Linked DNA regions of Styela clava. Each later gene encodes a partner of the first gene's protein in a complex. Links are inferred from orthologs where the notes say so. Each region holds a gene or a part of one and is shown on either strand. Other genes may lie near its edges. The genes, in order: V-type proton ATPase catalytic subunit A-like and V-type proton ATPase subunit D-like.

Evidence for each region.
Region 2: the proteins of V-type proton ATPase catalytic subunit A-like (region 1) and V-type proton ATPase subunit D-like are in contact, whole or in part, in a cryo-EM structure (PDB 9B8P), measured with the Rattus norvegicus proteins. The link is inferred for Styela clava from reciprocal best matches to the Homo sapiens genes ATP6V1A and ATP6V1D. Residues at the interface, in NP_001101788.1 of Rattus norvegicus: Ala366, Met368, Pro369, Ala370, Asp371, Ser372, Asp416, Ser418, Asp436, Lys438, Glu491, Gln494, Leu495, Val496; in NP_955418.1 of Rattus norvegicus: Lys4, Asp5, Arg6, Arg167, Ala171, Val175, Ile176, Arg179, Tyr186, Glu190, Arg194, Glu197, Tyr200, Arg201, Lys204, Ile205, Lys208.

Annotation. Positions count from the first base shown.
Region 1 is NC_135253.1:4,232,670-4,249,744, reverse strand, and holds the start of V-type proton ATPase catalytic subunit A-like, read right to left. Parts: upstream 8,620-17,075; 5' UTR 8,498-8,619; coding exon 8,416-8,497; intron 8,202-8,415; coding exon 8,073-8,201; intron 7,724-8,072; coding exon 7,649-7,723; intron 6,475-7,648; coding exon 6,335-6,474; intron 5,669-6,334; coding exon 5,531-5,668; intron 5,146-5,530; coding exon 4,994-5,145; intron 4,577-4,993; coding exon 4,414-4,576; intron 3,980-4,413; coding exon 3,871-3,979; intron 3,636-3,870; coding exon 3,566-3,635; intron 3,095-3,565; coding exon 2,927-3,094; intron 2,610-2,926; coding exon 2,460-2,609; intron 1,808-2,459; coding exon 1,690-1,807; intron 1,246-1,689; coding exon 1,151-1,245; intron 1-1,150. Other genes in the region: neuferricin-like, read left to right, coding at 9,915-10,278, 10,634-10,774, 11,000-11,186, 11,292-11,496; intraflagellar transport protein 57 homolog, read right to left, coding at 11,876-11,965, 12,054-12,151, 12,601-12,730, 14,374-14,505, 14,934-15,028, 15,407-15,494, 15,681-15,849, 15,927-16,045 and 2 more. UniProt on the Homo sapiens protein: Catalytic subunit of the V1 complex of vacuolar(H+)-ATPase (V-ATPase), a multisubunit enzyme composed of a peripheral complex (V1) that hydrolyzes ATP and a membrane integral complex (V0) that translocates protons.
Region 2 is NC_135255.1:8,111,153-8,127,730, reverse strand, and holds V-type proton ATPase subunit D-like, read left to right. Parts: upstream 1-9,313; 5' UTR 9,314-9,431; coding exon 9,432-9,472; intron 9,473-10,334; coding exon 10,335-10,452; intron 10,453-10,809; coding exon 10,810-10,957; intron 10,958-11,028; coding exon 11,029-11,177; intron 11,178-11,548; coding exon 11,549-11,615; intron 11,616-12,057; coding exon 12,058-12,305; 3' UTR 12,306-12,764; downstream 12,765-16,578. UniProt on the Homo sapiens protein: Subunit of the V1 complex of vacuolar(H+)-ATPase (V-ATPase), a multisubunit enzyme composed of a peripheral complex (V1) that hydrolyzes ATP and a membrane integral complex (V0) that translocates protons.

The DNA.
Region 1 (17,075 bases):
TAAATGTCACATACTCGAGTTGATACAGATCTTTTTATTTCAGTGACAAATAAGGTATGTTTAGACAATTTATTGCATCTCATTGGGACTACAGGGAAATGTAAAACAATAAATAATAATCAATGATGAAAAGAATGTCATCAGAAAAACTTGGTAAATACTTCCACTTTGGCAATTGTAATTAAACAACAAATCTCATGTTTCTGTTTAAAACTCGATTGAGCTAGTGCAGAATGTCTAGCTGCTTGATAATTTGACTCTTGATTATAAGCGGACCAAATAGCAACATCCAGCTGTCAGAGAAAATCCTTCACTTTTTGCCAAATTTGATTATAATCGAGAATGTAATAAGACCAAACTTCAAGTATTTTTCAATGATTTTTTAGTGCTCGATGATAAATATAAGATGGGCTGGTATGAGCAAATTGGTAACGATATTAGACTGTTTACGCAATTGTTTGTGGACAATTGTCATCTTTTTTAGGGCATCTTTGACAAATCACTCAATAATAAATGAAGGAAAAAAATGTTTTCTTCATGGAATGGTATTAAAATATTGATCTCACAAACACTTCTGGTACATAGTTGTCTACACCAGGAATTGATTGTAAGTGGTTGTGATACACAGACAACACAGTGTTGTAGAATTAGGACTAATTCATCCCAAAGGGAAAAAACAATGGAGCAGACTACGGCTTCTCATCTGGTAATCAGTCCAAGTCTGCTATCAGGCAATAGATGTGATAAAAGAACTTAGATTACGTGAAGCACCCAGAGATAACAAGGACTCGAGGAGATAATATATTTCGCATATGACCTCATTCCCGACACCAGGGTTTTCCAACTGGGGTCCGCGGACCTCTGTGGGTCCGTGATGACTGCACAGGGGTTCCGCAACGACATGAAAAGAATGTCAGCCAGAATTGATAAATAGTGCAGTAAAAAGCAACCTCATCAATCACATTAATGTCGTTTATGTTGTTGTTTTGTAAATGAAACATCATCCTTCCTCGTTGGTTAGGCACAGACATTGATACGGCTCAGTATGGGGGTCTATCAAAACTAAGATTCTCAAATAGGGGTCCACGGCCCAATAAGTTTGGAAAAATTTTGCCCTACACGATTGAATTTAGATATCAATGACACCCACCTGTCATAAGCAGAAAATCCATTTTGTTGCAAAAAATCATCTTTCAACAGTTTGGCAACTTCAAGAGTGATCTTATCAGTCTCTGCTAATGAACTCTGTAGAACGTAAGGACATATTCAACGAAATATAAACAAAAACGATATTTATATATGGAATGAAGCGCTATAACGAGTTTTATTAAAAATTTATAGCAGAGTATACGGTATGGTAACTTAAATAATTCAAAACTTATTTTATTTCTACATTGTTTCAAGAAACTTGTTTCATCTAATCATCTTTTTGTGTCGTGAAGCACAAACCTTTACACTTCAACAGAATATTTACAAATGGAAAACACAAAATTCTTATGCATCATAGATAGAAGATCTCAGTTGAAAACTACATGCCCAGTATTTCACCTTGGATGCAACGCCAAACCAGATGATTCTAGTTCTTCCAAATAGGAGCTACTTACACATAATTTGCTGCTTGTATAATATCCTTGACCAAAGTGAAAACATGGTATATTAAAAGTTTCCATATGACTACCTATAACTTACCTTTCCTACAAGTTGTACGATTTCAGACAAGTCTTCTTCCTCTTGTAAAATTTTTTTAGCCTTCATTCGAAGTTGCACAAAATCCGGAAAATTTTTTTCATAAAATTCTTCTAAAGCTCTGTAAGTAAGAAATCAATTTCTAAAAATAAACATCAATTGATAGTTCGCTAATGAGGTATTAATCCTTCTCTTCTACTTATGCAGACATATAAAGACAATGTAAAAACAGATAAATATAAACTACAATCCCGCAATTTCCTGCTTTAGCATTATGATGATTCAGTTTAATCCATGCAAATATGCCCCAACAACTAATGATATGATATTGTAGCAAAATTTGTCTGGTATAATAAATGAACCATTACCTGTGCTTGGCTAAACTACAAACTAAAACATGTTTTCTACACAAATTTGGCACTTTGAGTACCTTAAATCAATTTATCATCAACATAAGTTCATAATTTAGGATAATAAATTCATATCCACATTAAGGGAGATGAAAGATCAATCATAAGAAATGATGATCTCTGATCTTAATAACTGACCCACAGTTAGGTGAACAACCGTGAGGCAGCAGGTATCCAGCAATCAACTTGTACATAATTATCCCCTGTAGGATTTAAACCTGCAAAACCACGAAGTGTGACTAGTGGTGCAGGCATAGGCATGTTTCTAACTAAGTGGATATAAACTGTAGGTCCTTCAAAAAGCATAAAACTAGGCAAAATGAACAAATAAAACAACAATCGAATTAACATTCATGAGATTACCTGATATATTTGGAGTAACTAATCAGCCAATTCACTGACGGAAAATGTTTTCTTTGTGCCAGCTTTTTATCAAGACCCCAAAATACTTGAACAATACCAAGTGTGGCGGATGTTACGGGATCTGAGAAATCGCCACCAGGAGGAGAAACACTGCAAAAAAGGAAATTGAAAACTCATATACAGTAAATCATAAAAACAGCTGCTGTAAAGACATTTTGCCTTTTTTTCGAATATTGAAAACTAAAGCAACGAAACTAGCAACTAAAGATGCTTCCTAAAGTAGATTGAAATGCAGCTTATAGATATGATCATATCTCATATATATATAGAAAAAAAGCCAATAAGATGTTTTAAACATACACCAAACTGCTGTCTGCTATTCGCCATCTAGACCATTTGAATCATGTCATTTGTAATAAATGAGCTGCTATTTTGATCAACTTTGAAAACTAGTATGAGGTACTTACGCTCCCACAATAGATACACTTCCTTCTCGACCAGGATTTCCAATGCATTTAACTCGACCAGCTCTTTCATAAAAGGAAGCAAGTCTAGCACCGAGATAAGCAGGATAGCCAGAATCTGCAGGCATTTCTGCCAGTCTACCAGATATTTCTCTGAGAGCTTCGGCCCACCTTTTATGCACCAAATAAAATGAAAATTAATCAATGTTGTTACAAGTGAATACCTTTTGATATATGGTTTTTTAAATAATGAAAATTACCCAATCACAGTATTACTCTTTTCTCTACAAATTTTCCACAGCTAATATCCTATTCAATTGTTAGCTGATTAATAGGTAAATATAGTAGTTATCATTATCAATTTGAACAAGCCATGTTGGCATTGCAGGTTCGATCCGTGGTCAATCCAGCAGTTGATGCGAGACCACTTTCGACAACAAGGAATATTAATGCTTTTCTTGGCTGAATAGGTCTCACGAGTCATGAGCTAAGAACCGAAGGATGCATTTAGAATAGACTTTTAGTCAATAAGTTAGATCTACTATCAATCGCAATAACTGGTGATTTTTTTCCTCATATATTCATAATTATGGAGGATGAAAATAAAGAGAAATGTACAATATCACAAAATAAAAAACATACCTAGATGTGGAGTCGGCCATCATAGCAACATTATATCCCATATCTCTGAAATATTCAGACAGTGTGATACCTGTGATAAAAAAATTGTCTCAAACTTGACTGTTTCCAGCACTAAATTAGGCACTCCTGTAGTATGTGGACCAAGATGGCGGACCCGGATCGTGATATGTGTACCCGGTTAGGGTTAGGCCATAATTTTATTCCAATTTTCCTAATTTTAGTTCTATTACGAGTTTGAGGACTAGTCGAATGACTCTACCATCTTGGTGCACATACCACAGGAGTACCTTAAATTAAATACTGACCAGTATATATAGATGATTCTCTAGCGGCAACAGGCATGTTTGATGTGTTAGCAACAAGTGTAGTTCGTTTCATGATAGACTCAGTTTTTCCATCAACTTCAACCGTGAGCTGAAAAATAAAAAATAATATAAAAATAAGCAGAAATGAAAGATAATTTGCAGGAATGGAATTAATACTCTTTTATAGAAATAGACTTCAGAAACACTATATTAAATTATATTAAAAAATACAAATGTTCTCAGATTTGTCTGTCAAACAGTTTCGATGATTAGCAGTGGCCCATCATGCTATGCGAGGAATAAAACTTGTCATCAAACTGTTATTTTCTTTACTTGGATTTGCAGGTTCGAATCCTTCGAGGATGAAGATATGTTTGAATATTACCGCTGTAACAGATGGTCAGGTATGACTTCTTACAAAATCAAAGTCCATGAGTCTGGGAAGATAGCTGAATAGCTAGAATAGTATAATCCATGTTTGGTCATATAATTAATTTATCTGATTGTCTTTCCTTTCCACAAATGAATACAAGAAGAAATTACTTCAGGGAAATCTCTCAATACTTCAGACATTTCGTTTCCTCTCTCACCGCAACCAACATAAATAATAACATCACTGTTTGAAAATTTGGATAAAGATTGTGAAATTACAGTTTTTCCGCAGCCAAAGGCACCTGGAATTGCAGTAGTGCCTCCTTGAACACACCTGTATTGAAAAGAAACAAGAAAAACAAATATTAGAATAAAACATTAGATTTGTTGGTTGGTTGCTTTTACTAAAGCTTCAGTCAACCTAAATTCTTGCATACTTGGTAATTAAAATTGAATACAACAAAAATTCTAGAATAATAAACTATTTCGATATGGCTTATCTATAGTAAACAAGTACAACTAATAAGAATCTAACAATATTCGAAAAAGCCACCAATTGGAATGCATTTATGAAATCTATCTAAAACAAGATCGAATATATATAGTTTCAGTCTATTTTTATATTTATATTTGTTAACCTCACATCTCTATTTACCATCCTGATGAAGTGTGCCTGTATTTAGACATATGTAATTAATGTTCTGTAGTCTGTGCCACATCGTTTGCTGCTTGCCAGTTAATTTAGACTTACGGAAATAAAGCATCCAAAACTCTCTGTCCAGTAAGTAATGGATAATTAGCAGGAAGTTTTTCAGACACTGGTCGAGGTTGACGTACAGGCCATACCTGCATCATTTGGTATTGAGATGTTTTCCCATCAAAATCAACTTCAAGAACGACATCCTGTCAATACGAAAAGTGTGAGTGGCACCAATGAATACTATGGAGCTTCGCTTTTCAGTGAGTATTTGTGATGGTTTGTAATATTATACATCAATATTACGTTACCATACAGATAGTGACAAGTATTGATTTGATTTTTTTCCAAGTTCAAACATTTTATTGTATTTTTATTTAATTACTACCATTAAAACTATAGACTATAATATATTTAATAAATTGTTATGACATTTACATATAGTGAGATATCTAAGCATGACCATGACAAAAATACCTCTAATTCAAGGATAAATTTCATTAGCCGCACAAACTTAATTCATCTTCAGGTTTACTAAAAGCACATTAATGCAATTCGACAGATCAATAAATGCAACTGAAAACCACATACTGTGACATCATATTCCCCTGGTTCTGCAATGTAAGTGACTTTGCCATGACATTTTGGAGGCAACATCAATCTTTGTTGTAAGAGTGAATTTTCTACTACAGTTGCATAAACATCACCTCCTGTTATATGACTGCCGACCTGCAAAATGAGGAAATGAATCAACAATCAAGTTGTCAATACTTTGAAAATGTGTTGTATTGATCCTCCGCACAGTCAATAAATTTAAAGCATAAAAATTTCAAGCTCAAACACACAAGCCTTTGCTTTTACAAATCATGACGAAATATATCATACATCATCCTTCATATAAGTTACTTTCCCAGTAATATTTGAAAATCGAAGTTCCTTCTCAGATAATACAAATAGTATGATAATAGTAGTGACTTACATTCATATTGATATAATTTTCTTTTGTAATATATACTGACTAAAGTATTTAAATTAAAATTGGGTACTCCCGTAGTATGTGAACCAAGATGGCAGACACCAGAACGTAGTATGCATACCAGGTTAGGGTTTAGCCATAATTTCAGGTACAAACACTACGGAAGTCACTTGTTTAGTCCCAAACCCGTAAAGCCGTAATAGAACTAAAATAAGGAAAATTGGAATAAAATTATGGCCCAACCCTAACCTGGTACACATACTACAATCCGGTGTTCGCTATCTTGGTTCACACACTATGGGAGCACCGGAAATTGTATAGATCTGCCTAAGAGCATATCAGAGTGAATAGTCTATTAAAAGCAAAGATTTCTTTTCATATTTTCCACGCTCATTTCAATAAAACGAAATCTGATCTACCTGGATATTTTTCAAAGGAACAAATTCCCATCTTGCTTTACGATCAAGTGCAGTTGCATTGACACCTCTTGGGATATAAATTGAATCTGTTAAATCCTTAATATCTCGCAAAGGTCGTTGAATTCCATCATAAATATTTCCTGAACAACAATAAAAAAAGAAGAATCACAGAACATCCCTCAATAGAAATATCAAGCATTCATGTTTCATCCCCATTTCTAATAGTGATGTACCAATTCAACTTTTCTCACCAATTCCAATCTGAAACTAGTGAAATAACGCCAATATCTATGTCAAATACCGATACATCTCTAATTTCTAATGCCTTTTTGAAAATTCTTGGTTAATAAGAATAATATAGGTAATCAAAAAGGTGTGACATTTCTATAAGCTCTTTGAACACTTGCCCTTCCTTTGAGATCAAAAATCATCTTTTTATTTCTGTAATTCTTTATATCAGGGATGGCGAACCGTTTTCAATGAATGGGTCAAAAATTATATTTTTATCGCGGAACAGAAGGGAGTGGGTCACAACTATTAAACCTATGTTACGAGTACGAAAACACGCATATGAATTACCAAAAACGTTTAGGATGATGCGGCAAACTATTTCGCGGTTCCAAAGAATTTGTAGGTAATTACACTCTGATAGTGTTATATTTTTCAATCAGCTTTCAACCACATTAAGGCACTTTTACACTGCCCGATTGTTAATTTAAATATCTAGATTTTTATTTGAGATCTGAAAGATTTCGTTTTTTCAACGGCATTGTAGGCGAAAAACTAATAAAATTCAAAGTAGCATCTAATTCTCAAATAACCCCTGAAACAGTCTGCAGATGCTGCACTTCCAAAAGAGGCAAGACGTTGCGAGAAATGAACAGATCAATGGCATTGTTATGTCATAAACTATGTCAGAGCTGAATAACGGTTCACATCGGTGCAGACATGCAGTCAAGATTAGTGGTTTTTAAAATTACCATACCGACCTGAAAATTACCAATTTGAATATGAGCGATCGCGGCCTTGCCCAATTGATGGTACATTATAATAGTTATTGTTAGATTAATTTAAGGCCGGTTTTATCAATTTTTATCCCTGATATGTTAGCTTTTTTTTTATTCGTGCCTTGGCGGGTCAGTCACTTTGTGACCAGCGGGTCAGTGGTTCGCCATCCCTGCTTTATATTATAGTACTATGTTCTGTCGTTTTGCTAAGTTGATGCACCACAAATTTACAAATACAAAAATATAGACTCATTCAAACCTCAAAAGAGACAAAAAACTGACTAGTCACTCATACTCATGAACAAACCTAATATTCCAGGACCAAGTTCAACAGACAGTGGCTTCCCAGTTCGTAATACAGGATCTCCAACAGTTACCCCAGCTGAAAAATGAATGTATATATTTCAATAAATTTTTTTGATGATAATGTGCAGGAGAATTGTTCACTTATGGGCGCTACATAAGTATGTGTACCAATTTGGATTTTGTTTGCCCATTTTACATCAAGTTGTGTGAAGGGACTGGAACCTATGGGCAGGGGGATATTCACATGGCTAACGCAGACAGTCCCAGAACTCGTGATAGAACTAAAATAAGGAAAATCTGAATAAAATTATGGCCTAACCCTAACCTGGTACACATACAATGGGAGTACCGACCAATGAAATGAAATTTGTAATACCCAAATAAAAAGTTATTCCTGTTCATGCAATTTGAAATATTTCACTTACACGTATCTTCATATACTTGAATTGTTGCTCTGTCGCCATCAAGTCTGATAATTTCACCAACAAGCTCAGATCGACCAACTCTGACAAGTTCATACATAGCAGAGCCAGACATGTGCTGAGCTATCACAACTGTAAGATAAAGTATAGAATATTAGTAATGTAGTTACAGATTGAAAATATATATGCCATAATGAGAGTAAGACTTATTATTGAAACTCATCTAGTTCGCCAAAACTAAAGTTGTATTAAATATTTCCAGTTCAGATTTCCCAAAACTATTTTCTAAAGCGTTGAGATGAAGATGTACTGATTCTAGACAGTAAAATGTATTAGAGGGGTTTACCTGGACCAGATACCCCAAATACTTTTCCGAGCATTCCTTCTTTTTCAACATCTTTTATTTTGGGGAGTTTGTTAAAATCCATGATTTCCGAATAAAGATTAATAGAGTTGAATCTTTGCACAAAAAGTGTCCACCGCTAAATACACTATATGGTCAGAACCTACGAACAATCGATATTAGAATAAGACTATTAAAAGCAAACGAATAAAAACTGATTATGAAATCAGGAGAGCAAACAACACCTTCAGACCTTACATAAGATTTAAAAAGTTCAGAATATAAGATGGAAGATTTTGCCAAGAAGAAGAGAACCGTACGTGTTCACTCACCTAAACACACATGGAATAAGCTCGCGTTAACATAATGCAGTAATGAACAATAAAGATAACTACAATTTCAATATATTAAACCTCAAAACCCCAATTCTCATCTATTTCAGTATTTGGTAGAGATTTTAATCAAACCACATTCATTACTCTACAGCTCTAGGTCAACCAGCCAACATACCGGTACACTAATATTGTAATATAGCCTACGGTAGTCCACGTAAACATTACTAACGAATAATTTTTGAAAAATAAACGAAGGCAGTGCGAAACTTGGATTGTAGGTATTTCTCACTTCAGCACCATCTCAAGCATCAAGTGCAGTCCCAATCTTTATTTTCTATATAACGTGCGTAGCCAGCTGTTTTACTCGTGCATTTTGCTTAGAATTGCTTTTAAAATCAAATCACCGGCTGTCCGGCACTGATCTTCAGATCTTCGCAACCCTAACGCCACAAGAACAAATTAAATAAGAATGATTTATCGATCACGCATCATTAGCTTCTCACATGCCTGTCACGAGTTTTGACCTCCCGCTGATAAACCAGAGATGTTTCCTTCGAAAGATGAATGTGGTGCAACCAATTGGTTTTTCAAGAATGAAAAATTTGTTACGATCCCACATATATCAAGTCGTTAAACGATGGTTCCATTGATTTATAAAACTAAATAGGTGGATACCAAAAAGTACGACCGTCAGCTTCTGTACCGGTACCGGTACGGTAACTTTGTTGCACGATAAGTGTATTTAGATTTTTAACCGGGGAGTTAGCCGCCGTGACGAGCTGCTCTACACCCTATCCATCTGGAACTTAGGGAACGTTTTTGTTATTACATCGTCAAGCACCTCTCCCATAAACTGATATAGGGTGACTGAAATCGACCCTTGCATAAAAACATGATTTTGCACATCGGTCGGCTGCCTTTTCACCCTCGTAAATGTAAACCACATACGGTACCGGTACCCTAGGCCTAAACCACAATATTATTGGCGTTAATCCTGTTCTCGCAAGTATTACATGATCTCAACAAATCAATTATAGAGAAATGTTAGCTTGAATAAGCGAAGTTTATTCGAGCATGCAAAGTTCATGACGTGCCAACGAAGCTTGAATTTGTGATGTGGTGTCTCAGTAGTCAACTGCGGTAACGTCTAGGCTACCTCTTTGCAGAATGGGTTTCAAGTCTGGAATTTTCGTGCTTGTTTTAGGTGTTGCGATCGGGTATTTTGTTCGAGATTATGGAACAGAAATTGAAGCCGCCAAGGCCTATGTTTTCGAATCGGGCTCAAGATTCATGGATTCTTTCCAACAAAAACAAAATAAACCTGCTGCCAAAAAAAGTGCGCCGGCTTCTGAAAAGTCGTCAATTTCGGAAAAGACCAATGATCGGCTGTTTACAAAAGAAGAGCTATGGAACCACTACCGCGGTGGAAAGGATAGCAAGGGATTGTATCTCGCTATATTAGGAAAAGTTTATGATGTTTCAAAAGGGGCTAAGTTCTATGAACCTGGCGGAGGATATGACTTCTTTGCTGGTATGATCCTCAATTTAGTAATTAATGATTCGTTTCAATTTCTAAGGTACATACTGGTATACTGTTCAAAATAACATACGGATTCTAAGCAAAGACAATAAAACTTTTGATCACATCATTTCATTGTCAAACTTGAAGGTAGAAATTGACCGTCAATCCCAAGTGCAGAAGTGGCACTGAGTCCAGCAACTAACTTGCACATGATCAGTTATTAGGTCGACTAAAACATAATTTTGTTTTGATGATATAAGCGATGATAATTTGAATATTAGACAAGCAGTATATCCAACCTCAGTTGTAGATATTCAATTTGTATTAACAAGTTATTGCTACATGTTGCTTCTTTTGCTTTTAGGTCGAGATGGAACTAAAGCATATAGTACAGGTGATTTCACTGATAAGGGGCTCACTGATGACCTTACTGGGGTAGGCGCTGAACATTTCGGGGAATATGAAAATTGGGTTACATTTTATGAAGAAGATTACACGTATGTTGGTAAGTTGCATAATCCTATTTTAAATATATTGGAATAATGACATGCTACTTTTAGCTAATGGTAACCGCTCTATAAGCTTTGATTTAAATCTAATAAAATGCTCATAGGGCTAACAATGCCAAGTATCATATCCCAAGATTACCAGTATTTACTTACATTCTCTTGCTTTCATTTTTCTTTGTATAACCAATATGTGACCATTTTTTCTATTTTATGCAATTTAGGAAAGCTAATTGGGAATTTTTATGATGCGAATGGACAACCTACTGCAGCATTGAGAGAAGCGCAGAATAAAATGATGGAAGCCAGGAAATTAAAGGCAAAAGAAGAGGAGCATGAAAAGTTGTTTCCAAGGTGTAACTCAGAATGGACGCAAGAGACGGGTTCTAGAGTATGGTGTTCAACGAAAAGGTAATAAAAGTTTCAAAATAGATTACAAAACTAATGTTTAAAAATGTGACTTGAAAACTGTAAAAGCTCAACAATTTCATACTACTAAAATATTTTGTTTTTCAGTGGGGGGATAGAAAGGGACTGGGTTGGGGTACCAAGGATGCTCAAACCGGTTGGAGTAAAGAATGCGTACTGTGTATGTATTCGTGATAGCGGGCCACCTTCATTGGGACACACAGAAGTTGATGACAATAGAGGAAACTTAGATTATCCATACCTACAAGAAATCAAAGGCTGTGATCCAAAATCATTTTCATGCAAAATTTGAATAATGTATCAATTGTTTTTTTTCATAGTTGCAAGTAGCATAGTATGTTTTCTAATTCTGTTGCAATATGTTATACGGTACTACAATATTTGTTTGTTACAGGCTTTCACTACACTCAGCAACAACATGTTATTTATAGTTAACGAGACTGAATATTACAGAAGTGCCTTGGCCCTAGGATTTTCTATTGCAATATGTCTCACTACAGGACTTTTTTTACCTGACACCCAAGAGTAATTAACTTGTCCTGTCTCATATTGAAGCTTGTTTCGATTATTGCACTTTTACACAGTACTGTTATATACACTTTTATTACTTATTTCTAGAAAAATAAATCATGCAATGAAATAAATAATAATATACAATGTTGTAGCAGCATTTAATACATTTTTCCGAATGAATTATACTCTGCAGAACCATCTGGTTGATTCATGTTGCTGTGCATTATAGTTTTGTCTCTCATCCGAGCCTGGAATTACAATTATGAGTTGTTTTTGGTTTAGGTGGTCTAAAAATAGATAACCAGGTTGTTTGTACACATATGAATGGAGACATACCTGCATTAAAATATGTTCAATTACTCCGATTCTTATATCCATTTGTGTAGATTCCGTTTTCAATCTATTGAGTGATTGCTTGATACGGACAAGTGGAGCTAAATGCAATACAGTGTTTCAAACTTATGTTAGGCTACTATACTCGGTACAGCCTTCAACTGACTGACCGGGCCTGATCTTGAACCGCATTTAATTTATTTTGTTACATTAGGCTCGTGAATGTTTCCTCTTATTTTGATTTATAGTTTCAGAGGTTGTTTTATTAGTTTTAAATATTTGGATCACTCTATTCGAAAAGAACTTTGGCGAATTAATAAACGTCTTGGTGGATCGCTTTTTTATTAATAACCTAAATACTGTAAGCACTGAAATAAATTTAGGCGTATTGTGAAATATATTTTCTGAAAAGACCATAACCCAATAATTTTGGGTTTTGTACACAGATCTTTGGTGAAAAATGGTTGAGTAGCCCTGGCCTAAAGTTCGGTATTGTGGACTCATTTCGAGCTTCCATGTCAAGATAGAAAATTGATTTCAAATGTCATACCTCCATCGGTCATGCTGCTTCCTCTATCTTCCATCTCATGTTTAACTTTTTCCAACTCCTCTGTAACTTCCGCTAATGTTCTGGAATGTTGAGTCACTCCTCCACTCCCTTGTCTGTATTTCTCTTTCGTCTGTTTAAAAAAATGAGATCAGCTTACTGCATTATTTTTCAAATCAGTGTGACCCATTGCCCACAATTTCCTGATGACGACTGTGGTTTAAACTTGTTATGTGGAAAATATGAAAAAACATTCAAAGGACAAGATTAGATGAAGTGACAGGATATTATGCTCATATGCAATATTAGCTATGTCTGGTAATTTTTAACCTTTTTGGTGTAAAGAACCCCAATGAAAGATTCCAGTGGCTCTAGGAACCCCTGTGCAATAGTTTTTTCATTTCAATTATTTTGCACAATCATTTCACATTTCGGGGGGGGGGGGGGCTTATAAATGTAATTTTTATTCAAATCTTCTTGCGACACACATCTTACCACCAGATTGCTTTGAGAAACATTTGTCCAGTGTCCCACTGTACTCCACTCGTGGGGCACAATGGGGCATTTTGTCAAAATTCAACGAAGTATGCATTTAAAAATAAACAATTAATCAGCATTCTCATCTAAAGAACAGAATCAATGTTCAACCAAAATATTTCAGATATTGTTAAAAAAAAATCCGTATACAAATTAAATTATTTTCTTTTTCGACTCCAAATCTGGCAATTTTTTGATTCTCGAATATATTACATATTGTACCATGGGTCGAATGATAATATTAGAAAAAATATATAACGCATGTATAGGCCTCTAAGCATTTATTGTATTAAACACTGTCGAATTGTGCCCAGTAGGGCATGCCCCACTGAACCTGAATATTCTCAGACTGTTCCACGGCGAGATTATGAAGGCACATCCACTCGCCAATGTTATGAATATTTTACAGTGGACTGACGCTAAAGAATGTCAGACGATGGTTTGTCGTGTTGGAAAGGATAAACTAAAAAAAGAAAAAACTGGATTGGTGAAATTTTAGTTTCAACCCACCAAAACCAATTTCACCCCATAGCGTGCGTCGCTCTACACGGCTGTTGTCCGTTTGCTGGGACATTGTAACTCTCCTAATGGTGGATTTAAACATCAAACCGCAGACGCGACTCCGGATATAGTACGAGTGTGAGAGCTGATTTTCCACCGAATATACATTGTTTTTGTGTCTTCACATGCTATTTGTCAGTTTTTAGTTGTATTTTTGAAATTTTAAAATAGAAAAATAACCCGATTTTGCAAAATAGTATACTCTCACTTGATAGAACCAAGATTGGAATTATTGCCTGGCAACAACAAAGAAATGTAATTTCTCAGCCTAACGATTAACAAATAACTTTGCTATTGAACACAAAGTCGCCTAGTGAATCGTTTTGCTAAAATTCCTATAGACGTTGTGGTATTTCATAATATTATTTGGAAATATCGTTCTTCTCCACAACTAATATATCCCTAATTTTTAGTCTCAAAAATAATTCAAGTCACTGGGAGACTTTTAAATATACATATTATTACGGGTGCTATGGGAGCGAATATTTAAAATATTTTCAGCAAAGTCGGCGCTGAGTTACACAACTGAAGCTTTGTCATGTCGGCACCGAATCATTGCTCTTGTATTTTGTCAAACTATGCATTTCAGATTGTGTTTGCATAGTTAAAATATATATTTTGGAATGGCCGGACCGTCGTAATTTTAATAGTTGAGTAGCCCTGAGATAGAATATTAACCTGAGCAAGTTGATCCTGTGCGGTCCTGTATTGTTGGACTAGATGTTCCAGTTGATTGTTAATATATTTTTCACGGCTTGAAATTTTTTCGAGTGTTCTTCCAATTTCATCGTGAAGCTTGTCAAGATGAGACTGCAAAAATTATAAAGTTTATAGTCACAAACGAATTTAATATTAATATCACGGACACAAACACAACATGATTTACAAAGAACAAACTAAGAATTATTTCAGCCCTGTAGCAAATATACCATTTTAAAGAAATAATGCAGTGATGTAACATACACAGAGTATTTGAAATTGCGATTACTTAGTCAATGAATCCATGTGATTACCACATTTCTTCAACTGCAATAAGCATAGAGAAGATGCTTTTTTATATAAACCAAGTACATGATCTTTTTTACGCAAATTCAATAACTGGTTCGTTCTACTCTAAAATTGGACATGCTCAACTTTTGATGTTGTTTTGAATATTTAATAATGGGAATTAATTCAAATGATTCTTAACATCCCCAAATTAGAAGAAATCTTCCATCACTTTATATAATATACTGCACCTTTGTCTCTATTAAAGATGATTCAATCCCAACTTTATGATGATGCATTTGATCAACGTGAGTTCTCCAATCCTTGTTGTCTGTTCTGATTGTTACTGGGTGTGCAGAAACACAAATGTAAATTACACAATAATTGTTGAAACTTTCTGACTATATTATTTAACTTTAAAGGATATTGGCATCAGTCTTCATAGTGAAAAAAAGTTGTTAATGAATCGAATATTTGGATACATTCAAAATTAGTTGACATAGTCTCATTTTTACTCAAGCAATAATATAGAAAATCTTATTGAAAAAATCATCATTGTCTCAAAATATGTGTTTGACCCAACAGCTTATTGAGTTATATACTAAGTTGAAAAAATGCATGTTGGGTTCCAATATAAATGTTGCAGTTTGCCAACTCTAATCAGACATTCAGTACCAATATCTTCTTGGTGGCAAATCATAGGTTTATAAAATTCTGACAACACCTTTTAAAGAAGGTGTAACCCTTTCCACTTCCAGTTTCCACTCATCTGCATTTGTGGTAGATTGTAAGATATCCACTTGTTTGTTATCCTAAAATGATTATCATGATTCAAAAAAAACTTAAAATGACTCTGCAAAATATACCATAAAATTAAATATGCAGCAAAATACATATATTATCATGATTTAAGAATTCATTGATGAAGAAGTAATTGATGATCGGATTATCTGCTTATAAATTCAGAATTCCATTCATATACAAATTCAATGTCATACATTCTTGTTGGCAACTTTTAAGTCCATAAAGTGCGTGTCTTCTTCTTCATCTGATGCATCATCACCACCCATTGTAGCCATTTCATCTTCTAGTTTATCCAATTTCAATTCAGCAGCATCCTCTTCTTGTATAACTTCTTCTTCCTGAGCTTCCTCTGGGTAAGATGGGCTGTATAAAATGAGAATGGTTTACCTATGATAGGATACACCTGAATAAATGGAAATTATCTAGATGACAATATTTACCTTCCCCACTGGAAATTACTTGACCTCAATGCTTCTTCAGTCAAACGATCAAGGATATAACAAACATATTCTCCACATCCTTGCTTCAACTTGGATGGTGGAAAATCAATCGCGACTCCCTGAAAATTTTCAAGAAAGAATAAAAAATCACAAATACAATATTTAGTCTCTCCACGATTGAAAATGTTTAATTATGATTTAAAAAATTGTTATACATACCATTCGTTTTACTTCTTCCAATATACTTGATATAGTAGCATTGGGATCATCAAATTCTTGTGGCATGTCAAATGGACGACCAATGATGTTAAGAAGCCAGGCAGAAATTGAAGTGAATGCATGAAACTGTTCACCAGGATTTGTAGGGACCGCAAAATAATGTCTGTGAGCAAACCAAAAGATGTCATAAATAAAAAGAGACAGATGGCTTGTATTCAAAAACTGAAATATGGTTCGAACAGCAAATGTACAATCATTTTTGTGACTGCTGTTAGCATCATTGTAAATATTATACAAAAGTATGTGTGAAGCGAAATTACAAACTGAAATTTTTGACCCACTTTATAAATTGCAATACGAGATTACAATTATCACAATCTTTTATTTTCACCGTCAAAAAACCCTTTGAGTATTGACCAAAGATTTTCTGAAAGTCCCCACCCATTTCATAGCTGATAATACCTTGTTAGAGGTTTCATGTTGTTTGGCCTCATGAAATTTTCCTCAAAATTTAACAATTTCAGCTTATCCAGCAAATCTGACATCACTTCAAATACTTGATATGAAGCACCTGTTAATTGGAATGTAATTAGATAAAATCGAGATTATTCAAATTCAGGATTTTGTACATGGACCCTTAACCAAAAATTTATACCCAACATGACTAATAAAGTAAAGTTACCGTACTACCCACATCTACAGACCGACAAGTAGGAATGTTACAAAACGCACATTTTCGCAATAAAAAATGTACGCATCACTTCTGCTAGGTACCGTTACCGCCATACTTGAGTACCGCATATAAAAACGGCTACGGATTGCCAGCGATAGTTAGTGTTTCCATGAAATTTTGACATAAATTAGATAAAAAACACGACTATGACCTTGTTTTTGAATTTTTCCATTAGCGCAAATATTTCCTATCATGCG
Region 2 (16,578 bases), on another chromosome or scaffold:
ATTTGTGCCCAAAGCAATGGAATTATCTCTATGCTGTAAACTGGGCTAGCAATCAATTCCGTTGAATAATTTGATTTCTTTATATAAAAAATATTCCACCCAAAAGTAGAAAAATTCGTTTTAGATTATATTCAATCAATATTTCTTAAAAATTCCACAACACTTGAATTAATACAAGTAAACAACCAACAAACTTAAAAAAAATTCTTGTGTATGTGCGTTTGGGGCTAATTTATAGTTTGCTCAGAAAATCCTCATTTATGTTTTCATCTTCGTTTTGGTCAACAATCACAAAAAATGACCAATGTTTCAGCTATCACCAATGCTGCGAATATATATATGTTCGACGACAGCGGAAAACTTCGAGAAAGGAATCACTTCTGAATGTTAGTAAATACATCAATATGCAAGTGAATTTTTATTTATGAACTGAATATGTTTCTATTTTTACAGGATTGCAGATCATTGGAACCTAAAATTCTTTTGTTATTAATATTTTCATGTTTCAAAATAAAAAAATGTATATATACAAAAGTTTATAGCTTTGAGTTATATTCATTCGGGGCAGTGGTCAGCCATCTTTTTAATATCTTTCTTTCTGTACCGTAATTCTGTTACCGGTAGCATATCAAAAAATCTCCTAGTTCCGCGTCTATCGGGAACCCGCCGTCAAGCTTGGCGGATTAGGAACCGTGTTCCCATGAATAAAAAGTAATCTAGCGCAATTTTGTTTATTATATCAGTTATTATAGGATTCACAGAAAATTTAGAAATAAATAAATGTAATAGCCTTTTAGTGAAAAAAAAACAATTTTCAACCACTGAAAATTTCAAAGCAAAAAAATCGATCCATTAGTTTATGAAAAAAGCATTTATTTTAAAACGATATGTAGAATAACTTTACAACATAATAACAAAATTATTCATATATCCACTCCGTGTCCAAAAACACAGAATACATCTAGGATTCTAGGCAACCAAATATACCCTAAAATCGCACGTTTCAACACAAGATAAACGACTTCCATCGACAATTTACATAACCTTGAAGGTTGCAATGCTGTGGTAGTTTAAGACCGCTGGTCGATTACGGATTCCTCCACCATCAAATCCATGCTTCTGAAAAGAAATAACTGGCTAACTAATCCCGTACCCGACATGGACTGGTACTCTTACGAGAGGCCGTGGTCCGCCACATGATTAAGCCATGGTTAACTAAGCCATCTTATCGGTAATCCTCTCTTCCCCCGGAAAAATATGTAAATCATATCCTACAGGTGCTTGTATAACTGACCCAAAAAGTCTTTCATTGTCATTGGTAAAAAGGATATGCTACCCGCAATTGAATTCCTTTACGACTAGTGCTACAAGGTTGGTTGATTCTGATAGTACTACAAATGTTGATCTAGGTAGGGCATGGATATAAATCTCACCACTTCATTGTTAAATTTTACGAAAATCCCACAATTAGTACAAAGCTGGTACAGGGTGATGAAAAAAGGGCTGGAATATATATTACTAACTTTAGGATATCGCCGCCGAAACGATCGCGGTGACAGAAACATCCGGCGATTATGATGAAAATATTCAGTAAAAAACGCTCCGTTGCCGACTTTTCAATGTTTCTATTAATTTCCAAAGGGAGAATCTACCTCCGACGTTCTGGACCCATGTCGTGTATAAAAAAATTATTCGTTATTCCACTATCAGGTATTCGTTAAAAATATTCGATTTTGCCCATAAACTTGACTTGACAAAGTCTGTCAAACTGATTCGATGAAATAATATAAAACATTTACCAAAAAAGTTTTTTTCTGAATTACGGTAATTAAATAAAAGAAACTGTTGGTCAGGGATGGCCAATACCGAATAGTTCACTATTTCGAATACATTCGAAATTATTATTTTCGATTATGAAATTTCGAATACTTCGAAAATAAAATCCACTAATTGAAGCTTATCTAAATGTATGTAGGAATTTCCATACAAAGAGCAATGGAATAACTGCTATCTACAACCTAGCTATATTACCAGGCATTTCATATTTGCAGATTATTGCGATATATATTTTATATACCATGAGTCATGTTAACAGAATTAAATTAATACGGCAATAGTGGTATCGGTGATAGATTTGATAATTTGCGCAACACAAAATCATCCTAGTAAAACGCCCATACTTTTAAATACCAATCATTATCCAAATTATTTGCCAAAAAGCGGGATAAAGTACGAGTTATTTTTCCGATTTGTGACAATGAGTTACGTTGAACAGAATTAAATTAATAAGGCATGACATTTTTTCAATGCTGGTACCAGTCATGGATTGGATTATTTTGCGCAACAAAATATCATCCTGGTGAAGGATCGATACTTTTAATTTTCGTTATCATGATTATTTGCAGAAATTATTTTCTAATAAATCGACTTGTTTTTCTAACTTGTGACAATTTATTGGATATCGTAACAATTACGGCTAAAAATACCGTATTTCCCGGCTAATAAGTCTACATGGCAAATGGCATCATGTTAGTTTGGTAGAATCATACTCACAGAATTAACTATTTTTTAACAATAAAGCGGTAAATTTAAGTTGTGAAGCGGAAATTATTTTGGACAACCTATTAACCCGAATGTTGAAATAATTTTGGAAGTACTACACTGTACGTGCACGGGTTATTTCACAGCTGTGTTTTCCTGTCCCTGTCGTTTTCTGCTGAAACGACAAAATGAAAGGGTCACAAATCATTTTATCTCGGTGGCGGTGTTTCTCTTTAAAGTAACGATAACCGGCCTGCGATTAAATATCATGATTGGCAGACCCTAATACCCAAATATAAGGTTACACAAATCATGCCTGAGAAGACTCATGCAAATAATAAGCAGGCCACATAGAAATAATATAAACATACTTTCTCAATTAGACGAAAAAAAAATCAGGTCGAAAAATTGGGCCTAGAAAAACGACTTATTAGCCGGGAAATACTGTGATTGTCAATTTTTCGACTAATGGGAATGAATTTGTAAATTAACTCGTAGACGAATGTCGGCAATGTCCACCCATGCAAATGTGTCGCAACACTATGCGACGTATGGTCGCACAGAATATAAACAATCGAAGTGCCGACTCTATTTCATCGTCATTACAATACGCGAGAACAGCGTAAAAAGTCGTTTGAAGATTCCGGTAAAATGAAACACCACGTTTACGGCGAAAAATGGCTACTATTCGGAATTATTCGAAAATCAGCCGAAAAGGTATTCGAATACTTTGATATTCGATTCGTTTTGGACAACCCTGAGTCTGTTGCCATTATCACAAGCTTGTAATAACCAGGGATGGCCAATTCGAATAAAGTATTCGAATGTATTCGAATATCTCATTATTCGAATATCGGAATTAGCGTTCATAAGAATATCGGATATTTGTGTGACGTTACACATTTTCGACGCCGCTTTCAAGACGTTCCCATTGAATGAAAACATTCTCGATAAAAACTTGCGCGTGATTGTTTTCATCACTCATCAGCGTAACGTGTTATTTAGGCCGTAAACACCTTTACGTTTGTGTTATTTTCTCTAAAACGAAAATTTTCCACAAATTTGTTCCACGATAACGATGACAATTATTTTATTTTTGTACCCGCACGGAATTGGAATCTGGTAAATACGTTCATTGACGGTGAGTTTCTAAAGACAACGCAACTTTTTGATTGAAAAGCGGCAATTTAAAATACTGAAAATAAAACCGTATACAATATAAGTTTTATTGAGGCCCGCGAAAATTTAAAAAACGCTCTTTTAGGCAGTGAAAACCGCAAAATTTCGTGTGCCTCTGGCACACATTATGTTTGGTCAGCGTTTAGAAACATATCGTCACGAATTGAGGGCGGGATTTGCCTGATTATCCATTACTTTAAATTGCCGTCAGATATTTTCGTGTTAACATGATACAAGGTTTGAAACGCGACTTTTTCTCGGGTTGTGAGTAGGGCTGGACATTTTTGAATACCTGATGATTTCAGAATCGAATCGAATAATTTTTTTCGAATCGAATCGAATCTCGAATACTTGGAAGGTATGAAATTGTATGTAAATTTCTTAGTATTTTAGGTCCTCCAGACACATAAATTACTGAAAACATAGAATACATCACTGACAATAAAAAACACGTTTTCATCAATACCTCAATACAGAGAAGAGTCATAAGTCAGAATTGTGTTGAAAAAATATGGCTTCAATGAAAATAAAAATTGAGAAACTTACCTCGACCCTTGGCAGAAAGAGTAAAACAAGATGGCGGCGATTCGAAAATTTGCTCTAAACCGATTCGAATAATTTACTATTCGATTCGAAATGCCCAGCCCTAGTTGTGAAGATGTACCGATATATAATATAATCAATCTAAAGTATATTCAATCAATTTTATTGTGATGAAATAAATTTTACTCTGAGATGTTACAGCAGATTTATGGATTTTTCGAACGGTTTTATCTAAAAATAATCAGAGTGGCAGCCAGCAGACCACATATGGGAACTATTTCACGCTTCAGTGATTCGTCTGCGATTCAAATCCGTGCTATCGGTCAACAACATCAGACCACCTATCGAGGAGGTTTGGAAGTGAGCTGCACTGGTCTTGCTCAGTTGCCTCATCCTGCTACTCGAGCCTATCGCAGTTACGTACGTTGATCGAAGGGGTATGAAAGTTGTTTTCCTTTTCATCTCTGGTAAGTGAGTTGCTTTTTACAACAAATAAAAATTTAACCAGATAGTGCAAGTTTAATTTAAACATCTTCCGCATCTATTAGGTCGCTGTTGAATCCAAATGTGAAATACCGGTACCTGTACTGGTGGGATCCCGGTGCGGCATGCTGGGTTGTTGTTTTGAAATAGAAAATAAAATTTTAATGTCTAAAGATCATTGGTAGGAACTGAGCGCAATACGACCTATGTTGATAAACTTCAGTTTGCATTGAGGAATTTCACCATACAGCCATACCTCATCTTAGCAGGCACCGGTAACCTAACTGTACATACCGGTACAAATTCAATGCTTCAGTGTCGGTAACGTCGCAGTAGTAGGGCGATATTAAATAATGAAAGTGCTTCTATTTACATATGATGATTATGATTATGTTCGATTGATAAACTATAAATGTTTAAATTTGGTTCTCAGTAGATTACTGGTAACTGTAGGCCTACCGTAATTTTTTGTTAATGGATCGTGTGACATAAGGTGCCGTTGAACGCTGAACGGACGGCCAAAATAATCCAACTCGTCTACCTTTTATGCCTTTAATTAATTTGACGTTTTGTTCTTAGATTATGAGCAAATTTCAACGGGAAAGCAACACCTCATCTTATTCTGCAAATAACTTCACAGAACTTCAATCAAGAACGTGCATATAGTTTTGATACTTTAATTAACATTTGTATTGAAAAAAAAATATATGCAGTGTTTGCAAATCTCGACTCATTTTCTTTAGTCCGGCAGCTCTAAAACTGTTCTCTGATCTCGTTAGTTTAGACATGTAATCGAGGGCGCTTAGTGGTCTCCGAGACTACTTTGACATTTCCGAATCGAACCGGTTCTCTGGACTGGTTTTGATGGACATGTAATCAGGCCTACTGTTAACAAGTACATCTAAATATTTGCCGAATTCGCAAAATACGGATCAAAACATTATTTAATCGGGCAGTTTACCACACGTTTTTATTTTTATGACCGCGACGCAACCGCAGGTTAAATTGAAGACAATTAAATTATTAAAGCAAGACATTTTAAATATGCCCGTATCGGTCACGAATTCATCTCTTTGCACAACAGAAAAATATATATTCGTTGTTATATTATTTGTTGTAAAAGTCAACTCTTTTAACAGGTGGCATATTCGCGGCGATGAATATGTATTTTTAATTTACTGCTAAACCTTATATATATGTATATTCATTGTATGAAATGAATTATACTCTACACTTAACAGGATTTTATATCATTATTTGAAATTTTTCTAACGGCGATAACGAGTTGGAAAGATTGCAAAAATACGTATTAAAATTAAATACATCAGGCAGTTTATCCCGTACTTTTTTAGGTCACAGATCGCCGTGGACCGAATAGTAATGTTTGTTTTTTTCTGACGTAAGAATAAGCAACCGCGAGTTACGTTGGACACATTAAATTAATTAATTAAATTAATTATTAAATTAAATCAGATATTTTAATTTTAGAATCTCGTAGTTGTCACGGATTGAATATTTTACGTAACAGGTAAACTTGCTGGTTGCAAAAAAAACACCCGGCAATTCAATGGCATTAGTAATGTAACAATATGTCAGAAGATGTTTCTGGTTATTTTTATGACGAAACAACATCAAATTCAATTTTTTGTTTACCCTTGCGCAAATGCGACGCGGGCCACAAAAAATGAAGCAGCGGGCCTGGGTTTGGACCACCCTGCACTATACTATCCGTCATATTGGTTCACATACTACCTTTATCTTTATTTGTTACAGATTCACGGACTTGATAGTAGGGCAACCGACCGACCACCTGCTACCCAGGAGTCGGCAACCTTTTGTCGCTCGCGGGCCAAAATTAAGGGTTGCAAGTCTCGGCGGGCCGCACATACGTTTTGAAAGTTGAAAACGGAACAGCACGCGGGGACTGCGACAATTCATGAACTCAACTCAGTCGTCTTATTAAAAGAAATAAAATTACAAATGACATTTAATGTGACACTGTCTTGTTGCTGCATCACGCTTGATATTTTTTCGACATCACACTGAATGAAGCCAAAATTGGAAATTTTCTAAATGGGCATCACTAATCCAAGTTCTCTTCTAGTCCTTTCTAATGATCATTTTCCAAAATAATTGTTTGCACACATATATACTTCCAAACATCGAAGTGAATTTTGTCGTATGGTTTGTCAAATTTTGATAGAGATTTTTTTTAAGAAGATACATTTTTATATAAATTAAGCAGTGATGCATCTCCCGAACGAATTATGAATTTTATTTTCTCATTGCATTGTATCTCAAGGAGCTTCATTTGGATATTTCCTGCACTATTTAAACCCTGCACTCAGCATCAACTCTTTTCGTGTTGCCATTTGTCTAATTATAATTGAATTGTAGGATCGTTAAACGAGTAGCTATTCACTAAATTGCTACCTTATGATATAATTTTTTTAAACGTGTCACACGATAAATTCTGTTACAGTAAAAAATATAGTCTACTCCTCGAGCGTAGATTATAAAATTATCTCACCGTCAAAACCGCCGTTTTGTCTTTATAATTCAGTGGAGCGCCGCGTGCCGAATTATTTTACTCGTAGGTCGTAGGTTTCCGACCCCTGGTCTACGCGAACTACCTTACGGCGAGTGGAGTCCAGCAATCATCTCGCGTGTGATTATCGCCCACGGAATGCAAACCTGCGAATGCACGCATAGTACAGTAGGCCCTAATCAAGTTCATGATGCGCAAGCCGCCGAACAAATACAGGTTTCGCGAAATTGCCCTCATTCAGCTTTTTCGCCCACTTCGGTATCGTTTTCGCCCGCTGGGGGCGATATCGCCCACTTTGGGAATCACTGGCCTAAATAACACGTCACACTGACGAAGACAATCGGCGATTTTAATAACAAAAGTAGCGCTGTGAAAATTCCAATTTTGCCAACGTAACTGAAAATAAATTCCGTTAAGTACGTGCAAGCCTAACGCTTATTTCAATTGTGAATTCACACCGACGACTGTTGATATCGAAGAAAGTTACTGGTACCCAGCAGCGATTATGCGCACAGCACACACTTATTCAACACATCCACTTACCGACGTACCGAAAAATATCGCGCGGCGACGTTGCAAGTTTTGCACACTGTAAATTACGATTAACCGAAATTGGAAAATGCTATTCGAATACAGCTCTAAACGGAAACGATAGGGGCAGCCCTACCGATCACCCATTTTCTTACACCATATTATTTCCGTACCAATATGGCGCACAACCTGATCATAATATGCGTATAATTTTCGATATTAATGACGTCATCGCACAAAAAATTAATCTCATGGAAGCCACAGACAAAATAACTAAATGTAATAGCCTTCCAGCGAAAATTAGCCTACAATGGGTCCAGTAGTCGTCAATGAGAGAAGCGATTTTTTCTTACGGTAACACGAAGAAAAATTCTTACAACATAATAACAGAACGATCCATATGCCCATTTCTTGTCCAATTAATTTTGTAACTTTCAATAAAAAGTTCGCCATACATTATTAGACCACCACAGCAAATGGGTAATGTGCGCCTTAGCGGACGAATAGTGTTCTATTGGGGTTTCGGAAGTGTAAGATTAATGTAGATGCCATATTAAAGTAATTTACGTTGTTACATACATCCATTTTTTGAAATTAGGAAACCTGTTGTTAGTTCGACACAAAAGAGAGCAAATTTATAATGCAAAGTGCGCCTTTTATAGAGCACGGGCAAGTCAAGTTTATTTTTTCAACTAACAAATAATCAAGTACCGGTATATATATACAAATTTCGAGAAGAAAAAAAAACAGTTCAACTGCGGAATAGATGCCGCGGGAAACCAAAGCTATTAATTATCTAACAAAGACATCGAAGCTTACTTATGTGGCCATTTGGCCCGCAATTCAGAAGAATCGCCCACCCCCGTCAAAGTTACAGTATAATAGATTCGACGAGATGGGGAGGATGTTATCGGAGAATTAACAATCGCACAGGTGGAGTTTATACTGTTATTATTCTTACAGTTGATCATAAGTGATATCAGTTGGACTAATATTCGCTTATTGGACAGAGTGGGATGTTATTTTTTCAACTTTGATTACATATAGTCCTATACTGTACTCAATTATCCATTCATTCCGAAGGCGTTTTGTGCATGTAAAAGAAACCGTAGTGCTAACAATCAACAACGCAATGTAGTATAGTATTTCTACAATATATTCTTACTATCACCTTCTGCCCACAAAATACATTTGAGTTGAAGACCTGTGTCATAATGGCAGGGAAAAGGCGAAAATATGCATGGTCGATAGACGAAAATATTGCATAGAGACTGAGGTAATCCGTGTATCTTCGAATATTAAATGATACACGAGATTCATAATGTCGTAGCGCTAAAATATACTAACTGACAAAATTTTTATTTTGGGGTTAATGGCATTCAATGAACACTTCGGACCAAGTTTGTCGTGTTATTGGTGTCTTTAATTAACGTTTTTACGGGTCATAACTTTACCACATGACCTCATAATCACGTGACCTATAATTTTGTTTATATTTTCTGCTGTTTTACAACAAACTGGTGTTGTAGTCGTGCTATTCTGCGTGCTTCTTTCCGACTGTGAGCACATTTTCATAGGATTGTAGGAAGATAACAATCGAAGAAAGATGTCTTCAAGAGACAGGATTGCTATATTTCCATCTCGCATGTAAGTCCTGAATGTTCTTAGAATCCAGGTCTGTCTTGTCTGTTCATTCCATCAAATTTTGAAGTGAAAATATTTTGCTTTAGCATTCAAAAGTTTTTAGCACCATTTAGGTCATGTGACAGACTACGAAAGTCACAATTGATTGTAAATTATCATCAAGACGAGCATGGCGCTATCTGATGCATCTGCCGTCATGCCAGATGCCCTTGCTTCAGACAAATAAAGTGTTTGTTTTATTAAACTAAATGTCAGGACATCTTGGCCAGTTTATACCGAATTAACTTTGTGTATATTATATATATTATTTTGTATACCATTGTTCGTTTACGGTTGACAAAACAATAAATCTCTCTCTCTCTTGGAATCGAAGAACTGTGCCATACTAGTTAAAAATACAGAAGTGTGGTGCTAAACCTTAATATGTAAAATTCTATCCTAATCTATTGTCGAATCAGTAATATAAAATGTTTGCGACCCTCAACAAATATCTTGTAATTGTTGGGTTATATAAGAGTATGACCCAAACATCAATTAAAACTTTCTAACATGAAGTGATGTAAAAAATGTAAAAGAATAGACTTGGTTGGTACTTGGCTAATAACAATTGTTAAAAAATGTGAATAGATTTACAGATTTTTTTTCATCATCCACCATGTTATCAACTTCCTGTCTGGGTGTTTGGGCATAATGCTACAGATATACCAATCAAAAAGTTTTCTCAGTATTTTTATATATCAGTAAACCAGAAAATACTGGTTTATCAGTATTTTTAAAAATATTGTATCATCATTCTAATTCTAATCACAATTCTAGTATTTGACCGCTTTGATTCATGTATATTTGTATATTTTACTGTTTGCAGGAATCTAACAATAATGAAAGCGAGGTTGAAAGGTGCTCAGAAAGGTCACAGTTTATTGAAAAAAAAGGCCGATGCCTTGACAGTTCGATTTCGTGCCATATTAAAGAAAATTATTGAGGCAAGTCAAATATATTCCTAGAAAATCATGGTGATCAGAAATGTGAAAGATTCCTGAAATAATCTGAAGATAATTCGATAACATGTTCATAAAAACAATTTTTTTATGTTTATAATGATTCTTATCCAAACACTTTGTTACATCAATATTAAGTTTACTTTTTCAATCGCATATTGATATTCAACTCTAGGTAATTTACTAACATTTTGTCTTAATAATAAATGCATATTCAGTGCCCCAATAATCACTTGCATCTATTCTGTTATCTTTTCAAAGTGAAAGAAGTAAAGTTTATCATTTTAGTAAATATTTTCTGAACTGATGTATATTTTTCTAATTAAGTATCATGCATCATAGGCAAAGCAACTTATGGGTGATGTTATGAAAGAAGCTTCATTTTCACTCGCTGAAGCAAAATTTACTGGTGGTGATTTTTGTACAGTTGTTTTACAAAATGTTAGCAAGGCACAAATCAAAGTTCGAACAAAGAAAGAAAATGTTGCAGGTAAAAGATCAAATAAGATATAACCAAATTACTGATAATAAAAAACTTATAATAAACATTCGTAATTACAGGTGTAAATATACCAGTGTTTGAGCATTATGAAGATGGAACTGACAGCTATGAACTGACAGGATTATCGAGGGGTGGTGAACAATTATCAAGGTTAAAAAAGAAATATGCAAAGGCAATTCATTTATTGGTTGATCTGGCATCTTTGCAGGTATGATATTCAATGACTGACAGTGTAAAATATGGACTGGCATTCAATTATTTTGTGCTTTGTCGTGTCTACAGATTTAAAATTACGGTAATGCTGTTTGAAGTTGTTGTGGACCAAAAAAGTTCATTTTTCTTTTTGTAACATTTGTTGGGAATCTTCTGTAAAATAGTTCAATTTAGATTAGATAGAATTGAGTTAGTCTGCAATATGCAATTGTAATATAATTTTAATGTACGGCAGGTTTGTTGGAATTTTGTATTTGCCACTAAAAATGGTCCTGATAATTGTTGGATGGATAGGAAGCTTTTGTCAATAAAACCAGAATTGGGTAACAAAATAGCCTTCATAAACTTCTTTATCAAACTTTTTAGACATCCTTCGTTACTTTGGATACTGCAATCAAGATTACTAATAGAAGAGTAAATGCTATTGAATATGGTAAGATGATTGAGTAAATTAAAAACAAGACAATTTAAAATGGTTGTTGATTTAGCCACAAAAAAGTCTGGCTTTAAGATCGATGACTTTTAACATCTTTTTATTGAATGGAAATCAATATTCATAAGGATTTTGTTGAAAGGGATGTGTTCGCTTATCTAATTCGACTGTCTGAATGTTGCTGATGTTTAATATACAGAGTGACTCCCAAAATAACAGAACCCATAAATTTCTAAATCACTTCTATGAGAATGAAAAAAAATAAGTTTAAGTTGTATAGGTCGCTTTGCACAAAAGTTATGTTCTTGCTAGAAAATTATCCAAATGACCTCCTGGGAGTTGGAGATAGACTCGCATCCAACATGCAAAATTGTACCTTCCTGTAAATGTAATTATTCACTTTTTGTGAATTAGGATTAACAGATTTTTTCATCCTTTTCAGTTATTATTCCACGAATTGAAAACACTATAGCATATATCATTAGTGAATTGGATGAAGGAGATCGTGAAGAATTTTACAGACTTAAAAAAATTCAGCAAAAGAAGGCTGTTGCTAAAGAAAAAGAAGACATTGCTCGAAGAGCTGAAAGGGAAGCTTTATGGCTTGCTGGAAATGATGAGGTTGATAGTTACACAGAATCCAAAAATATGCTGGATGATAATGAAGATGAGGATTTGCTTTTCAAATAGTTGTATTGGATTTCAAAAGTATATTATGAAGGTTGGAGTGATTGCTTTCCTTGGTGGTGCTTCATGGCTAGGACCTCACACCAAGGAAGCATCTTTTTCCGTTTTGATCTATCTTTTTTCTGCAGATTAAGTTTATGTGAATTGTGTTTGTCAATATATATACTTTTGATTGATTGTGAGATTTCATATTAATGTGATTGATGTGTCACGGGCCTATTATCCAATCTATTGTCAATTAAACTTATTAATGTAATCTAGCTAATTGTCCACAGGTGAAGATTCTACCATATGGGGACCAACTACTTTTGTGATGTGGAAAGAATATATATGTGTGTATATATATATATATTCATCTGTCGTCAAATTTCATTACGCCAATAGTAGTGTCTTTTCGGATTCAGTCTTTGTGCAATATTGCAAAAATCTTGTTCAAAATAAAATTCAAGATTAGAGCACATATTCTACTAAGTGCAGCATGTTTTTGTGTATGGCCTTTTGGGGGGATAGTGAAAATGCTGGTGCCTCCGGTGGTCAACTGATTATGTATCCTTGTTGCGGGCCATCCACATTATATATGTATATGGCGGAATGTCAGGGAATTTGGTCTATTTTGTACTTTAGGAAACGTCATAGGTATTGAAGTTGAATCAAGATCTCATCTGTTTCTACACATATGGGTGGATTAAGAGGATTTTTGTTTATAACTGTAATTTTGTTATTAACGTACCATCGAATAGAAAAACTAATCAGCGCAGCGCTAAATATTTATATGCTGTTTGGTTGCTATTTTTACCCCGCATTTGCGTCTTGCGTGAAGGTTGTGCACAATCGTCGATCAATCACTTGCAACCGTTTTCGTAAATCCTGCCCTTTTTATGCAATTTGCCTCGTTTGTATTTCCCCTTCTCTGGTTTCTATAGCGATGATTTAATCGTTCGGCGGAACAAAAATAACCTAAAGACACTCTTTTTTTATCCACAAAAAATGCCGGATTTTCGGTTAACTTGTGCCCCAAAAATAAATGGAAGAGGTCATCAATTGTTTTCTTGCAATTCCCAAATGAGTTTGAATTCACCAAGTACAGTTGGAGATTGGTCCATTTCAAATTGCTTTGTATCAGTCAGATGAAATGAATCAACATGACTGACGAAACTTAGTTGGTCATTGCAACATGGTCCGAAACGTTCGTGTTAACGCTTAGGATTTACATATTTATCCCGGAGGAGAGGAAAGCCGATAATACGGCTTAACCATATGGCGAACCACGGCCTCACTTCCGGTTACCATTCCATGTGGGGTATGTGCTTAATTAGTTATTTGTTTTCGGAAGCATAGGCTTGATGGTGGAGGAAGCCGTAACCGACCAGCAGTTACGTGAACCACCTTACGGCGGCGAGGAGTCTAGCAATTCTCTCGCACATAATTATTCCCGCATGGGATTCGAACCTGCGAAACCACGCAGGGTAATCAGAGGTGCGGTGCCGAGCGTGTTACTAACGCTAAGCGCGACGAGCCACACCGCCGCGGTATTTAATTAATAAGTCAACAATCAAGTTACAACATATCTGGAAAAATATGAGAATGTAGCCTACTAATTTGTTTTGTAACATTTCCATCACTCGAATTTCAAAAGAAGAAACATTGTACCAACATTATGGTGTGTGGGATACATGATCAAGCATGTTCAGCTTTTGATTTGAATCGAGTCCATCAGTCCAGTGGTTCTCAACCTGTGGTACGCGTGCCACTAGTGGTACGCGGGAACTTTTTAAGTGGTACGCGAGCAGATTTGAATTATTGCAACGATTAACATTTCAGTTGGCTAAAATAATATGCCGGCAACTCTTTATCTTCCTTACTGTAAGTATTCGCTGAACAGCGTTTATGGATGTTTCCCCAAGCATCAGTTTCCTTGTTTATTTCCGTAACTATAACTAATCGGCAATTAGTCATTAATGACGCAACACGTAACGATTGCAATTTCTGCACTCAGCCGCTCAGACATTTCTGTCGCTCAAACAGATATTCAAGCATGGTTGCAAATATTGCCTCATTTTTGTAGTTTTGAGTGATATTTGTCAGTTTTCAGTTGTGTTTCAAAAAACTGAGCTATATTAATTAGTACCTGCAAACGGCACATCGTTGATTAATTTTAATAAAAATTATGGTTCCAAACACGTAAACCAGTTTATGTGCGCCAACATACCAAAACACTCTCAGAATAAGCATATAGTTTGCAATAGTAACGTATAAGAGTATTTTTTCCGGGGTGAATGGTCGGGGAAACGTCCATAGCGCTGGTGCGCTATCGTTCCTTGCCCTTTGAGATCGCCCTTGCCCGCTATTGCCCACCTTAAATGAAGCGATATGGACATGTTTTTGTTCTTTTTGCGTGTTACACCACAAAGGATGTAGTGACACATTATAAAATACACACATAGCATGTTTCTTGTGTCTTTTTCCCCGCGTAAAAAAAAGAGCTTTGTCTGTGGTATTTTTAACGAATTTAAAAGCATTTCATATTTCGTACTGGTGCTCCATACATAATACGCGACGCATCGGAAAACTACACAATAGGCTACAGACAAAAATATTGCGTTATTTCGAGCAAGAAAGTATCGAATGCTAAAGTATACAGTACGTTTATGAACACACAAGCGTTCAATTTATATACTATATCAGGGATGGCGAACCTTTTTCAATGAATGGGTCAAAAATTATATTTTTTTCGAGGAAGAGAGGAGCGTGGGTCACAGATATTTAATCAATGTTTGTATCTATAAGGAACTGAAACAAGTCTGATAAGCTTCTGTTGGTGATGGTGTAGTTTTGGGCTTCACTTATGCAGCACTTCTATCAAGGACTTTTTATGGCATTCGATTTTATGAAAGTAGAGTACGAAAACACGCATATGAATTACGTTTATGATGACGCGGCAAATTATTTTATGGTTACAAAAAGTTTGGAGAAAATTCCACTCTAATAGTGATATTTTTCGACCAGCTTTCAACCACCTTAATAGGGCTTGGGGCCTCCGCGATCTATTCGTTTACTTGAAAACTGTCCTCGACCTACTGCCTTATCTCCCCCAACCTCCCTATTCTCGACCCACTACGCTATTTTCCTATCTGCCCAACTTTCCTATCCTCGACCCACTGACCCATCCTCGAACCACCACTCTACCTCCCTAAACCGTTCTCTTCTCGACCCACTGCGCTATCTCCCTCAACTTACCTATCCTCGACACACCGCCCTATCTGCCACAAGTTAACTATTTTTGACCTACGCTGCTATACTATTCAGTACCTGACCTAACGGCGCTTTATTTACGACCCGATCGCCACATTGAACTTAACTATCTTGCGACCAACTTCCATGGGTTATACTGGTCGTGTATGCCAATGAAATGATTCAATCGTACGTCGACAAAACATGATTGACGGCTTTCGTATATGTAGGCTGGAATATCAAATGGTAAACAATAACCATAATTGGCAGTTTAAAAATGTGTTACTAATTGGGCTATTGATGGTTTCTTGTTGGGAATGACAGTTTTCTAAATTTAACCAAGCCGTTTTATGTCTTTAATAATTGGCCATGTCGTGAGTCTTGTGACAATATGATGCTGATCCGAAATAAACAATAGTGCTCTGGTCCGTGTAAAGTATTTTTCTTCAACATTTTATAGTAAAAACGTTGCCAAAGATGACGTACGAACTGCGTCCTTTGCAACCTCATTAAGTTGCAGATAAGATAAGCTCATTTTTGGGACTATACGCTGAATTAAAGTGCAGTTGGAAACGCTAGCTACGACAAAACATTTCATGGCTTAAAAATCATTTGGAGGGGTTAGCAAATAGGGTTACCATATTTGAAAAAGCAGAATTCCGGACAGTGCATGACTATGTCGCACAACCTTAGTCCTAACCGGTACACAAAAACTATGTTCAGGTTGTGCGCCATCTTGGTGCACATACTTCTTTCAGGAGGTCCCTATTTTCATGAGACCATATATATGCGCTACCGAAATGCTAAGGCTGCAAACTTGTACGATACTCATGCTAAAGCGCCAGCTACCGAAATGAAAAGTATTGTCTTCAGTCACAAGCAGAATCTCACACCAGGCAGGTAAGCACACTCTAAATATAGCTACGGGCCGTCGACTGAAAAAATCTCAACTTCAGAGTGAAAAATAAGAATGAGAATTAGATTGTGCCGAAACGGAAGAACAGCAATTACGTGCTTAAAACAAATTAAAGACAATCACTACAAA